Drosophila melanogaster: one gene and its partners. The protein of the gene in region 2 interacts with the protein of the main gene of each other region in a pairwise test. Each region holds a gene or a part of one and is shown on either strand. Other genes may lie near its edges.

Region 1 (3,681 bases), 4.4 Mb from region 2:
GAGCAAAGTGGCGAAGAGGACGAGGAATCTGGAACGGCAACGGATGACGAGAGGGAACCCACGCAGCCGGGCAACCAGGTTCCTCCGCGGGAGAATGTTTTTGGGGCCAAGATCCGATCTGCCAGCAAGGATATAGCCACGCCATCGACCAGTGCCAGTGCCACTTCTGCTCCTTCGAAGCCCAGCAGACAAACGGTCAAACATCCATTCAAGGCGGTGGCCTCCACCCATGTAAGGCTGCAGAAGCAGTTCCACGTGCCCCAGCACTAGCACTCAAATTATGACCAGTAGTAGAGTTCCTAGAGCTCACATCAGTATTGCAGGCACATTCTGGAATCGTAGCAAGAGCTTAAATAAAATTGAATTAGGAACATACTTCTAAGGGTTTATCTTAATTGGTTTTTGTAACCCCGCAGTCTCAGAGCTTCCTTTCATAATTTAATCAGAATGTATTACCACTCTCTATCTCATTGCCTTAAAAAACATGATATGTAGAAGCAACACAAATTGCAATTAATATTCGAAAATCATTCTGGTCCACAAATCAATGTTGATTTTCCTTTTAAAAGTAGGGATTGTTATATAGCACTCCTTGCCATTCAGCGCTGATTTCCATACACTTTTTATTAATGGACACGGGTCACGATTTGCATTATTTGTCCCAGATAAACAATACTAAATATATGCATATCATAACTAATCAAGCGGAAATGACGCGCTTCTCTTCCCCTTTTCGCAATAAACTTTCAGGTGAGGAAACACAAATCGGGAACTGGTCGCCTGGTAACCGTTGTTAAATCGAAGTCCTGAACACCCAAATAGCAGGGAATTTACAATTCTTGAATTTTTAATTTATAAATAGAAACTAAACGGCAATAATTCAAAATTATTGGCCATTGCTCACAAAAGAATTACTTTACTTAAATTATGATGTGCCCCGACCGGGCGAAACTTAAAACTAAGCAATAAATGGATGAGCAAATGTGTTCTTTTCTTCATTTCTTGGGGAGCAGCTGGGTGCGGAGGAGATTAAATGAATGTGAGAACCTGGAATTGTAAACTTGATACGGGTGACTGGGTGCCAGGTGTTCGATGTATGTATCTAATGGTATTGGGATGCACTTTCCGAATGGGCGTGGCCGTGCCAGCGCTACGGATCTCATTTCTCCGGTCCCTGACCCTCGATCCCGGCCTGGTTCATCAGATCCGCAATGCTCTTCTCCAGATCGTCGATGCGGTTGCCCATGTCATCGATGCGCGTTATTATCTGGTCCGACATCGTCTGGAACTTGTCCTGAACGTTCTGCAACAGATTTTGTACCTGATAACAGGAGGCAGGTTTACTGGGTGCTCATTTGGTGTCTCTATTTACTGGGTGGTTCCCGGTTCGGGCATTACTCACGTATATGGTCAGCTCCTGCATGTTTTTGGGGTCCGCATTGCTGTTCAGGGAGTAGTTCTGGTCCAGATCGCTGTCCATCTCGTTGCGCAGATCGGTCATTCTGTGGCTTCTTTGTGGCACTGTATAAAAGTACAAAAATGCTATCACTTCTAGCTCTTTTGCTTCTGTTTGCGGCTGCGGCTGTTTCACTTCTGCAAATTAATTTCTTTATCAAGCATAGGGGCGGACTTTGGTTCGATAGTCCTTTCGATAATCCTGGTGGTGGCAAAGTAGCTAGCTTCAAGTTTTATTTTCCAGTCATATTTAATGTCAATTTATTATTTTAATTTATTTTAATCTTTAAATAATTCAAATAAATATTAAGAACCATTTTTATTCAACATCATTTTATGGGATGTATTATTACAGAGAATATACCCAAATTGTAAATTTTGAAACTAAATTAAACTTAAATATAATTCTGTAATGTTTATTTCGTATTTCATATAAAAAACAACAAATTTGTGTATATTTTTAGTTTTAAAGCTTAATAGCTAGTAGCTTACGTTTTTCAACACTGCCCCACGTGTATTCTTTTAACTCATCCAAATGGAAGTGGACGAGGAAAAGCCGCAGGTTCTTAAAGAAAAACACATTATAAATAAACCACATTAAGCTAAGCATTACGATTGCAGATTATTGCTGAAAATCCCAACGAAAACGTGATACGCGAACGTAATGCGGAGATCGTTTCCGGCGGCAATGTGTTCTACAATCCTGTCCAGGAATTCAATCGAGATCTGAGCATTGCTGCTCTGAATGTTTATCGACAGAGATTGACCAAGGAGCGGAGCGAAAAGGCGCTCAAAAAGCAGCGGAAGAAGGTCAAGGAACAGGAGGATGAGAAGACCACTCCCGTTCCCGAGGATCCACCTGTTTATGAGGCCGGTACTCGATATGAGGATGGACTTCGGATCCTGGAGGCACTGGCAGCCACCGGTTTGCGTAGCATCCGTTACGCGCAGGAAATCGCCGGTGTACGCCAGATCGTGGCCAACGATCTTTCCCGCCAGGCAGTGGCCTCGATCAACACAAACATCCGGCACAACAAGGTGGAGGAGCTGATCGAGCCCAGTCACTCCGATGCAATGTAGGTTTATAATTAAGCTATTGGCACACGGTATAAAATGGGGCATTCCAATACATCGTACAGGACCCTCATGTATCTTTCGACGCAACCCGAGAAGCGTTTTGATGCAGTTGACTTGGATCCGTACGGATGTCCCAATCGCTTTTTGGATGGCGCTATGCAGTGCCTGGTGGACGGCGGCCTGCTGCTGGTGACAGCCACCGACATGGCCGTGCTGGCCGGAAATGCTCCGGAAGCTTGCTATGTAAAATACGGATCGGTTCCGCTGCGGATGAAGTGCTGTCACGAGATGGCATTGCGCATTTTGCTGCACTGCATCGAGAGCCACGCGAACAGGTACGGCAAGTACATCGAACCACTACTGAGCATATCAGCGGACTTTTACATCCGGATATTTGTGCGTGTGTACGTCGGCCAGGCCCAATGCAAGCTGTCGATGAGCAAGCAGTCTTGGATATACCAATGCACCGGATGTGAGACCTTCACGCTGCAGCCCTTGGGCATAACCAAGCCAAATCCCACGGCTGGTAATCCCCAGCAGCTGAAGTTCGGAATTCCCACTGGTCCGGCGGTCAACTCGCAGTGCGAACATTGCGGTCACAGGCATCATCTGGGTGGACCCATCTGGTCGGCACCGATTCATAACCCCGAATTTGTGCAGGATCTTTTAACGGCGGTCCAGGAGACCACCTTGCAATCGCTGGGAACCCAGAGACGAATCGTTGGAGTTCTTTCCATGGTCCAAGAGGAGCTGCAGGATGTTCCCCTTTACTACACGCCGGACAAACTGTGCTGTGTGCTCAAGCTAGAAATCGTGCCCATGCTAAAGTTCCGGTCTGCTATTCTCCACGCTGGCTATCGAGTCTCATACTCGCATGCCTCGAAGAATTCGTTGAAAACCAATGCTCCACCAGCGGTGCTATGGGACATTCTGCGCAGCTGGAGCAAGCGACATCCGGTAAATCCCGAAAGGATGATTCCTGGATCTCCACTGGCGGCCATACTTTCGAAAGAATGCACTGCTGTCTACGAGTTCGATGAACTCCATCCGGAGGCGAACCCGAAGAGTCGCAAATCGGCATTATCGCGCTTCCAAGAGAATCCGACTCCACATTGGGGACCTGGAACCAGAGCCACTATTATGTAAGCT
Region 2 (3,237 bases):
CTCAGGGCAGGCGTCGTTACGACAGGAAACAGCAGGGTTTCGGAGGTCAGACCAAGCCCATCTTCAGGAAGAAGGTAAGTGCCCCCATTCGTCTAATGCTACCGGGATCGCTTGCCGCCGGATTGCCATCGACACTAATGGCGGCTAGATTGGAATCCCTGGAATGGCGCTTCGTAGAACTAAATCGCTGCGCTCGTTGAGCATTATGCTTTTTGGTGGGAAAAAACTGTGCCAGATCAAAACTGTTGTTGCACTGGTGCGGCCGTGAAGGCAACGTTGTGTGGCATCCATGCCCACAACGCCCCACCGGCAACTTCAGACAATCCAAATGAATTCATGACCACCATTTGTATGCCGCTTGCTAACTGGAGTTCTAATTCCATTTTAGGCCAAGACCACCAAGAAGATTGTGCTGCGTATGGAGTGCACCGAGTGCAAATACCGCAAGCAGACTCCCCTGAAGCGTTGCAAGCACTTCGAGCTGGGCGGTGACAAGAAGCGCAAGGGACAGATGATCCAGTTCTAGGCACCTTCTTTACACCATTAAAAATCCTTTTTTCGCTAACGAAGTGGTTTTATGTTGTTTTCGCGTCGCTGCACGGCGGCAAATAAAACAAAATAAACTTGTAGACGTAAGCTTTAAAAAATGTTTAATTGCAAGGTGTAGCAACATGTGCTATATCACAAGATCAGATCACGCTCTGCGCCAGGCAGCTCACTCTCGCTGGCCATCCGCCAGGATCAGATCGGGTGTGCTGCAATGGAAATGAGCTTGATGAGCTTTCAATTTGGCCAAACCTCTCCACGGAACTTACTCTAAAATACGCGGCTCCAGACCTTCGGATTGCATTTTCTGCTTAACCGCCGGTGCGGGCACACCCACTTGCACCATTTTGAAGAACTTTCTGTAACGTTGATCTTCACAGGCGCGCACACCAACCGATTCAGGCGGGAGTTCCGGCTCCGTAGGATTCTCGGTGGTCGGTGGTTCCGTGGTGTCCACCATGGATGCTTCTTCGTTGCGTTGCTGGTTTGATATCGCTGGCGCTTCGGTAGCCTCAGTCGCTACATGGTGCTCGGTGGGTATAGACGCCAGCTTGGCCTCCAGGATGATGAGGGCGGCCTCCGTCTTCTGCAGCTGCCGTTCCATCTCCACGAACTTCGTCTCACAGCCCAGGGCAAATTCATTTAGAAAGGTGCAGGTGCTGACGAGGAAATGGTTAACGAAGGCCAGGATGCGTTTCTGGTTCAGCGGCGGTATCTGGAGGAACAGAGTTGAGAGCTGCAGGTGCAGTTCACCCTTGAATATAAGTCCCATACCTGGGTCTTGTCCACATTGCCGGTGATTGCTGCAGTTGCATCCATTATTTTATTTTCACCAGCCGTCTTTTATTTTAGTACTTTTCTGGGTTGCCAGGCTGACTGACGATACTAAATATTGTTCGCTCAACATCAAGCTGATCCAAAAATTTGGTATTTCTCACGTAACTTAACACAGTTAACTTGGCGCCTAGTTTAAAAATGAAATAGAACTGAAGTTTCTTTCAAAAAACTTGTGTGCATATTTAAATGTTTTGAAATTTCATTTTTAAAGTGAAAAAAAACGAATAATATACATAAATACATAGTTATAGCTTAGAAACCCATTCAACAACAAATCCACCATTTTGTTTTAAATATTTTATTTATTCACTTTATTGTATCTTAACATGAAATGTGTGAATGTTATTTCTCCGAGTATTATGCACTTCTTCGTCAATTTATTATAAAAGTATCGTTCAGTTAATATGCATTTCCTTTGACATTATTATTTATATATGTATGTATAAACTTATGTGCTGGGTGTTCCATTAGGACCTGGGACCTTCTCACTATGCTCAAATCTACAATGAACTTTTATTTTGACTTAGTTAAATAATGCTTATCGTGCCCATCTCGGCGTCGCTTTCTGCGGCTTAAGTATTAGTTGGAATGCCAAATCGGATCCGCGTTTTATTTATTATTTGTATTTGTATTTGTTTGGAGAATTACATTACTTTTTGTTAGCAATTTTTTTTTTTTTGAGAATTTCATTGCTGATCCGAATTCTCGGTCTTTGTTGAAACAAAACGCATGCGTGCAGCTTGTGTTTGTCGGCAGTGGATTTGTAATGGTTTGTAGAAACGAAAATGCTTTCAATTCTGTGCGGTGTAGTTCGCAAAACTGAGTTAAGAAATCAAAAATGCTGCCAGCAGCGAGAACGGTTCGAAAATGAAAATGCCAAGTGAAAGTTATTAACTTTTGCCACCGTTGCAAACGAGAACCAGCTGGTCTACAACGTTCTCATCACTGAATCTGAATAGTTTGTGCGCTGTTTGTGAGAATTGTGAGAAATCAAAAGGCAGACGCAAGTCACAGGGCTTCTTTTTGTAAAACTTTATTTAAAATAAAAATACACGGTAATAAAAAATCAAGAATTTACAGTTAAAATTAGAAATCAATAGTTTTATGTATATATATATACATATATATATATATATATGTATATGTGAGTGGCTGCCCCCGATGGTCGTCCACAACTATTTTAATTATTACCATTATCATTCATCATCGGCTCATCAGAGTTTCGGATCACCGCGGTAATCCAAAAGGCGATTCGGATTCTCGATTGTAACAACTAAGGCGTAAATTAAAATACGTAATTTAAATAATAGAGGATTTGCTTGGTGTACACAGATCGCAATCGTTTTTGATTCTGATTCGTCGGTTTCGAATATCAAGTTTTTGGGTGTTTTTAAGGTTTGTGGAGAGTGTCGGTCGGTGAAAGGCTCACGTAAATGTAATTTGTAATAATAATATAATAATAATTGGTAATACTAAAAACTAATATTGAGTTGCTCGGCGTTCACGTTCAAGTCACATATCTAAATCTGTTCATTCATCGTGTTATTAATTTACTTGATTAAAATTACGAGTACGCATCCATGGTAAGCGAATCTATTTATATTCAACTACGAAATCCATTGGATCAGCGATTGGCGCCAACATTTTGTTTGTTTTGTTTGTTTGTAACTTTCTTTCATTCGTTAATACTAGGCATAAATTAAATAAATAGCTTAGCATACGTTTATAGCTTGCCTGCAGTTATTATTTATATCTCATCCTCACATGGTCGTGGTTAATCCATCAAGCATTGCGTACTCCCCTTGGTAATGACAATTGAAATTATATAAGCATTCTGCATGTACCAATTGTTAA
Region 3 (4,278 bases), on a different chromosome or scaffold from region 2:
GGTCTGAAAAGCACCGGGTGATCCATCTGGGTGAGTATCTGGTGGAGATCGCTGGCCTTCGATTCGGGCATGAACATTCGCCAAGTGGCCTCCACATCCAAAAGACTTCCATCTACGATAAGTGGATTTATTTTCACATCTAGTGAGATTTTGTAAAATATGTAAATACCTGATCTGTGTGCCTGGAAGAACAACATTGGTACTTGATAGGAAACACTGAAGACCACATGGTACTCCACACTAACCAACTCAGCCGAGTTGTCCTTGCCACCTCGGCATTTAATCTTCTGACTACATTTGAGATAGGTGTTTGGTTCATTCGAGTCCTTAATTGGGATGGAAAACGTATTAAATAATTAGCCCGAATTATAAAATCCGCACTGCGAGATACCTTTTGTTCCAATATCCAATTATCACCCAACTTCTGCGAAATTTCGAGGAACTGCTTGGCCTGGCTCAAAAAATCTTTCCAGCTCAAGTCGCCCATAATGCTGAAAATAAAGCACAAAAATATGCGTGTTAAAATCTTTAAACACTTCAAATACCCACGCGTAACGATACTTGAAAGAAAACAATTTCTTTTGCGTGGGAAACAAGCCTCATACATATATTTAAGAATGTCCTGTATTCTAGAGCAAAATTGAAACGCCAAAGGTTAAAGCTCCTCAACACAATACACTTAAGCTTAACACAAATCGTCAATTAACGAATATCAATTGCAATAATCCATAAGTTAGGCGCTGCGCAGGTCGCCGTCCAGGGCGGTAACCTGGACATTCTCGTTGCGCCGGACCTGAACCACAGTCACCGTGCCGGCCTTGTCATCAAATTTGCACGTCACCGTGACCTCCCGCAGCTGGAAGGTAAATATTTGCGAGCCATATTTTGTGCGCAAGTAAACGGAGCGCGGATCCGCCTCCAGAATGTCCACGATGCACTGCTTCTCCACCTGCAGCTCCTTTAACTGCGCCTCGGCATGCTCGTTAAAGGTCACGCTAAGTCTATTGCTGGCCACCACCCAGTTGGGCACTCGCACGGCGCTGGGTGGCGGCAGAATAGCGTCAGCTCCAATGCCCGCGTTCCCGCTGTAGCCAGCTGCTCCATACAGTTCCAGGTCCGATTCCTCTCCGTCAGGCTCCTGTCTGGAGTCGTAGAAGTCCAGGCTGCTCTCATGCGGTCCAACAGAGGTTCTTCCTGTCCGGGGCAAGAACTTTAGTTGCATTTCTGCTTGATTCTCGTCCAACGTACCTGAGTCAACGCTCAAGGATGGTGCATCGTAGTGTGGAATGTAGGGCTTAATGTCCAACACGGGTGTGCCGTCTACCATGTCCGTACCAAAGAAACTAATGGTGGCGTTCTCGATCTTCTCAATCTCCACCAACGAGAGACCAATGGGACACGGGCGGTGTGGAGATCGTGTGGAAAACACACCCACCCGCTCCCCACCAAGACGGGGAGGCGCCACCTTGGCCTTGGGGTGGGAATTGTTGCGGTGAAAATGATAGATGAGCCACAGATGGGAAAAGTCCTCTAGTCCCTCCAAGGAGTGCTCCGGATTGGTGAACACACCGTCGTTCAGTTGGATGATACCCCGCAGGCGACTGCCCACAATTGACTGCCTCGGCACGGCCCGCTTCTCTGGGAATGCTGTCCGGATCACTCCTATGGGCCGAAAGTGTGCGTAGTCCTCTCCCAAGCAGTGCCCACCATTGGTATAATTGCTCTAAGGATTGGGTGCGAGGTTTGTATGTGTCTTTCAGTGTGTGGGAGGGTCAAACGCACCTGACCTTGGCCCGTCTGCTGGTCCTGCGTCTGCTGTTGGTGCTGGTGCTCCTGCTTCTCGCCGGCGACCTTGTCCTTGGCGCTTTTGTTGTTGTTCGCACACCCCTCGCAGCGGAAGTCCTGCAGCAGGCGGGTTATCGTCTCAATGTCCTTGCGCTGCACATGCTGCAGGTTGCGCACTTGCTGCCTGCATCATGGTCAAGGCAAAATCGGTGTGAACTTGAACTATACCAGTAGCAAAAGGACACTCATGGCAATTTGCCTGTCTCAAACGCACCTGAGATTGTTGATCTCGTTCCGCGCGATGGTCAACTGACTCTTCAGATCATCCTCGTGCATTTTCGCTGCCGGCAACGCGCACTTGACTCCCAAATAATCCGCAATTGCAGCGTTCTCCGCTGTTATTGACCAATATTTACCTCGATTCTCAATGGTTACATCCAGCTAGAGTTGGCCATCACTTACGCACGGCACCGCGACGTTATCGATTGTCGATAGGTTCACCTGTGCTTAGTTACGGCCAACTGCCTTAATTCCAGTTAGATTTAGCTTGCGCTCAATAGCTTTTTTTACAAACATTTTCTTAAGAAATAACGTTGTAAGCCTCAACAAAAATTATATAAGATAACGTTACTGAGCAGTAAAAGTTTTGTCTTCAATTTACATATGTTTGTTAATATTTTTTTTTACAAATCCCTTTGCTCTATGTTGACTAATTTACAATAATTCACAAATAAAAATAGGAATAATTTAAACATTTTGTAAGCGTAGCTTAACACTATTTTGGCTTTTTCCAAATATTCGATTTCAATGATAAACGATATATCCCAGCGCGCGTTTCTTTTTGGTATTTTTTAGGTTCATTTTCGGGCTGAGAATGACAATCTGAATTTTGCACAGTAGGTTCGATTTGAAGCGACATTTTCCCTGCTATATACAAATTTGTAAATTTTAATTGTTCAAAAGGTGTGTTGCTTGCGGCAGACTTGAGAACTGAATTTTAACCGGCGTTGTCTATTGCAGCTATCGAAGCACGAAGAAAGCATCATGTCTCGCGGAAGTTCAGCCGGCTTTGACAGACACATCACGATCTTCTCTCCGGAGGGACGCCTCTACCAAGTGGGTTAGTATCCTGGCACTTGCGGCTCCATTGTATCCAGTCTGACATTCTCATTTCCCCGCCAGAGTACGCCTTCAAGGCTATTGCCCAGGAGAACATCACCACGGTGGCGCTGAAGAGTGGCGACTGTGCCGTGGTGGCCACCCAAAAAAAAGTGACCGAGAAGAACATCGTGCCTGAAACGGTGACCCACCTGTTCCGCATCACCAAGGACATTGGATGCGCAATGACCGGACGCATAGGTATGAACCATAGATACTTTAAATTCTTGTTTATCCCGGCGTGATTCGAGTCAAATTCCAGTCGAGTTAGCACAGAGTTATCCCATTGTTGATATGTCCCATGTAACCAAGTAGCGATTCACTTATGATTGTGCTAAAATCAGAAGAAATAGCCTGCCAGACATTAGGGCAAAGGCGTATAGCGTGGAGCCATTTTAAACGTAGTTTTCACACGGTGCTTCAACTAGAAAAGAGGACATATCAACCCAAGAGTGTCACTAAATACTTAAAATTATTTCTCTCCCCTAGCTGATTCCCGCTCACAGGTGCAGAAGGCCAGATACGAGGCCGCCAACTTCCGCTACAAGTACGGCTACGAAATGCCCGTGGATGTGCTGTGTCGTCGAATTGCGGATATCAACCAGGTGTACACGCAGAATGCCGAGATGCGTCCGCTCGGCTGCAGCATGGTGCTGATCGCTTACGACAATGAAATCGGCCCCAGCGTTTACAAGACGGACCCGGCTGGCTACTTCAGCGGGTTCAAGGCCTGCAGCGTGGGTGCCAAGACTCTGGAGGCCAACAGCTATCTGGAAAAGAAGTACAAGCCCAACTTGTCGGAGGAGAAAGCGATCCAGCTGGCCATCTCCTGTCTGTCCAGTGTGCTCGCTATAGACTTCAAGCCGAACGGCATTGAGATCGGCGTGGTCAGCAAGTCTGATCCCACTTTCCGTATTTTGGATGAGCGGGAGATCGAGGAACACCTCACCAAGATCGCCGAGAAGGACTAAGTTCTGTCCCGCTAGCTGTAATTTTGTCATATTTTATAAAGCCTCTTGGATCTATGGTTAAATAAAAAATGCTCTTGGCTTGCATTCAAAACAAAGGCAAATCCGAAAACGTTTTATTTCTTCTTGTGCACCTTACCGCCGTATCGCATGACAAAGGCATTTACATCGAATTTGCGACGGCATCCCTGATAGTTCATGTACCTAACCTTACCGAAGATAGCCCGCTCCTTCCAGCCCATGTCATGGACGCCGCCAATGGACCACATGCAGCCCACATAGCCGTTGGGGTCGCGACCATCCAGACTGTACTTGTCGTTCAGCAGGATTGCGTACTCCAACGCATGCTCCGGTGTCGCTGTCCATT

What was found.
Region 1: the proteins of CCDC53 (region 2) and CG5446 interact in a two-hybrid assay, tested with the Drosophila melanogaster proteins (one large-scale study listed by BioGRID).
Region 3: the proteins of CCDC53 (region 2) and CG12822 interact in a two-hybrid assay, tested with the Drosophila melanogaster proteins (one large-scale study listed by BioGRID).

Annotation. Positions count from the first base shown.
Region 1 is NT_033779.5:12,426,067-12,429,747, forward strand, and holds CG5446 (uncharacterized protein), read right to left. Parts: upstream 1,644-3,681; 5' UTR 1,502-1,643; coding exon 1,403-1,501; intron 1,322-1,402; coding exon 1,160-1,321; 3' UTR 565-1,159; downstream 1-564. Other genes in the region: Fam92, read left to right, coding at 1-270; Trm1 (tRNA methyltransferase 1), read left to right, coding at 1,991-2,017, 2,077-2,531, 2,595-3,674.
Region 2 is NT_033779.5:8,039,277-8,042,513, reverse strand, and holds CCDC53 (Coiled-coil domain containing 53), read right to left. Parts: upstream 1,409-3,237; 5' UTR 1,366-1,408; coding exon 1,321-1,365; intron 1,262-1,320; coding exon 816-1,261; intron 756-815; coding exon 716-755; 3' UTR 635-715; downstream 1-634. Other genes in the region: RpL36A (ribosomal protein L36A), read left to right, coding at 1-74, 389-526. UniProt on the Drosophila melanogaster protein: Acts at least in part as component of the WASH complex which may regulate wash nucleation-promoting factor (NPF) activity and is required for its membrane targeting during endosomal sorting.
Region 3 is NT_033778.4:7,830,147-7,834,424, reverse strand, and holds CG12822 (uncharacterized protein), read right to left. Parts: upstream 2,255-4,278; 5' UTR 2,122-2,254; coding exon 2,060-2,121; intron 1,970-2,059; coding exon 1,783-1,969; intron 1,724-1,782; coding exon 734-1,723; 3' UTR 584-733; downstream 1-583. Other genes in the region: Atg10 (Autophagy-related 10), read right to left, coding at 1-112, 170-326, 392-487; Prosalpha1R (proteasome alpha1 subunit-related), read left to right, coding at 2,830-2,905, 2,968-3,144, 3,433-3,914; CG18853 (uncharacterized protein), read right to left, coding at 4,028-4,278.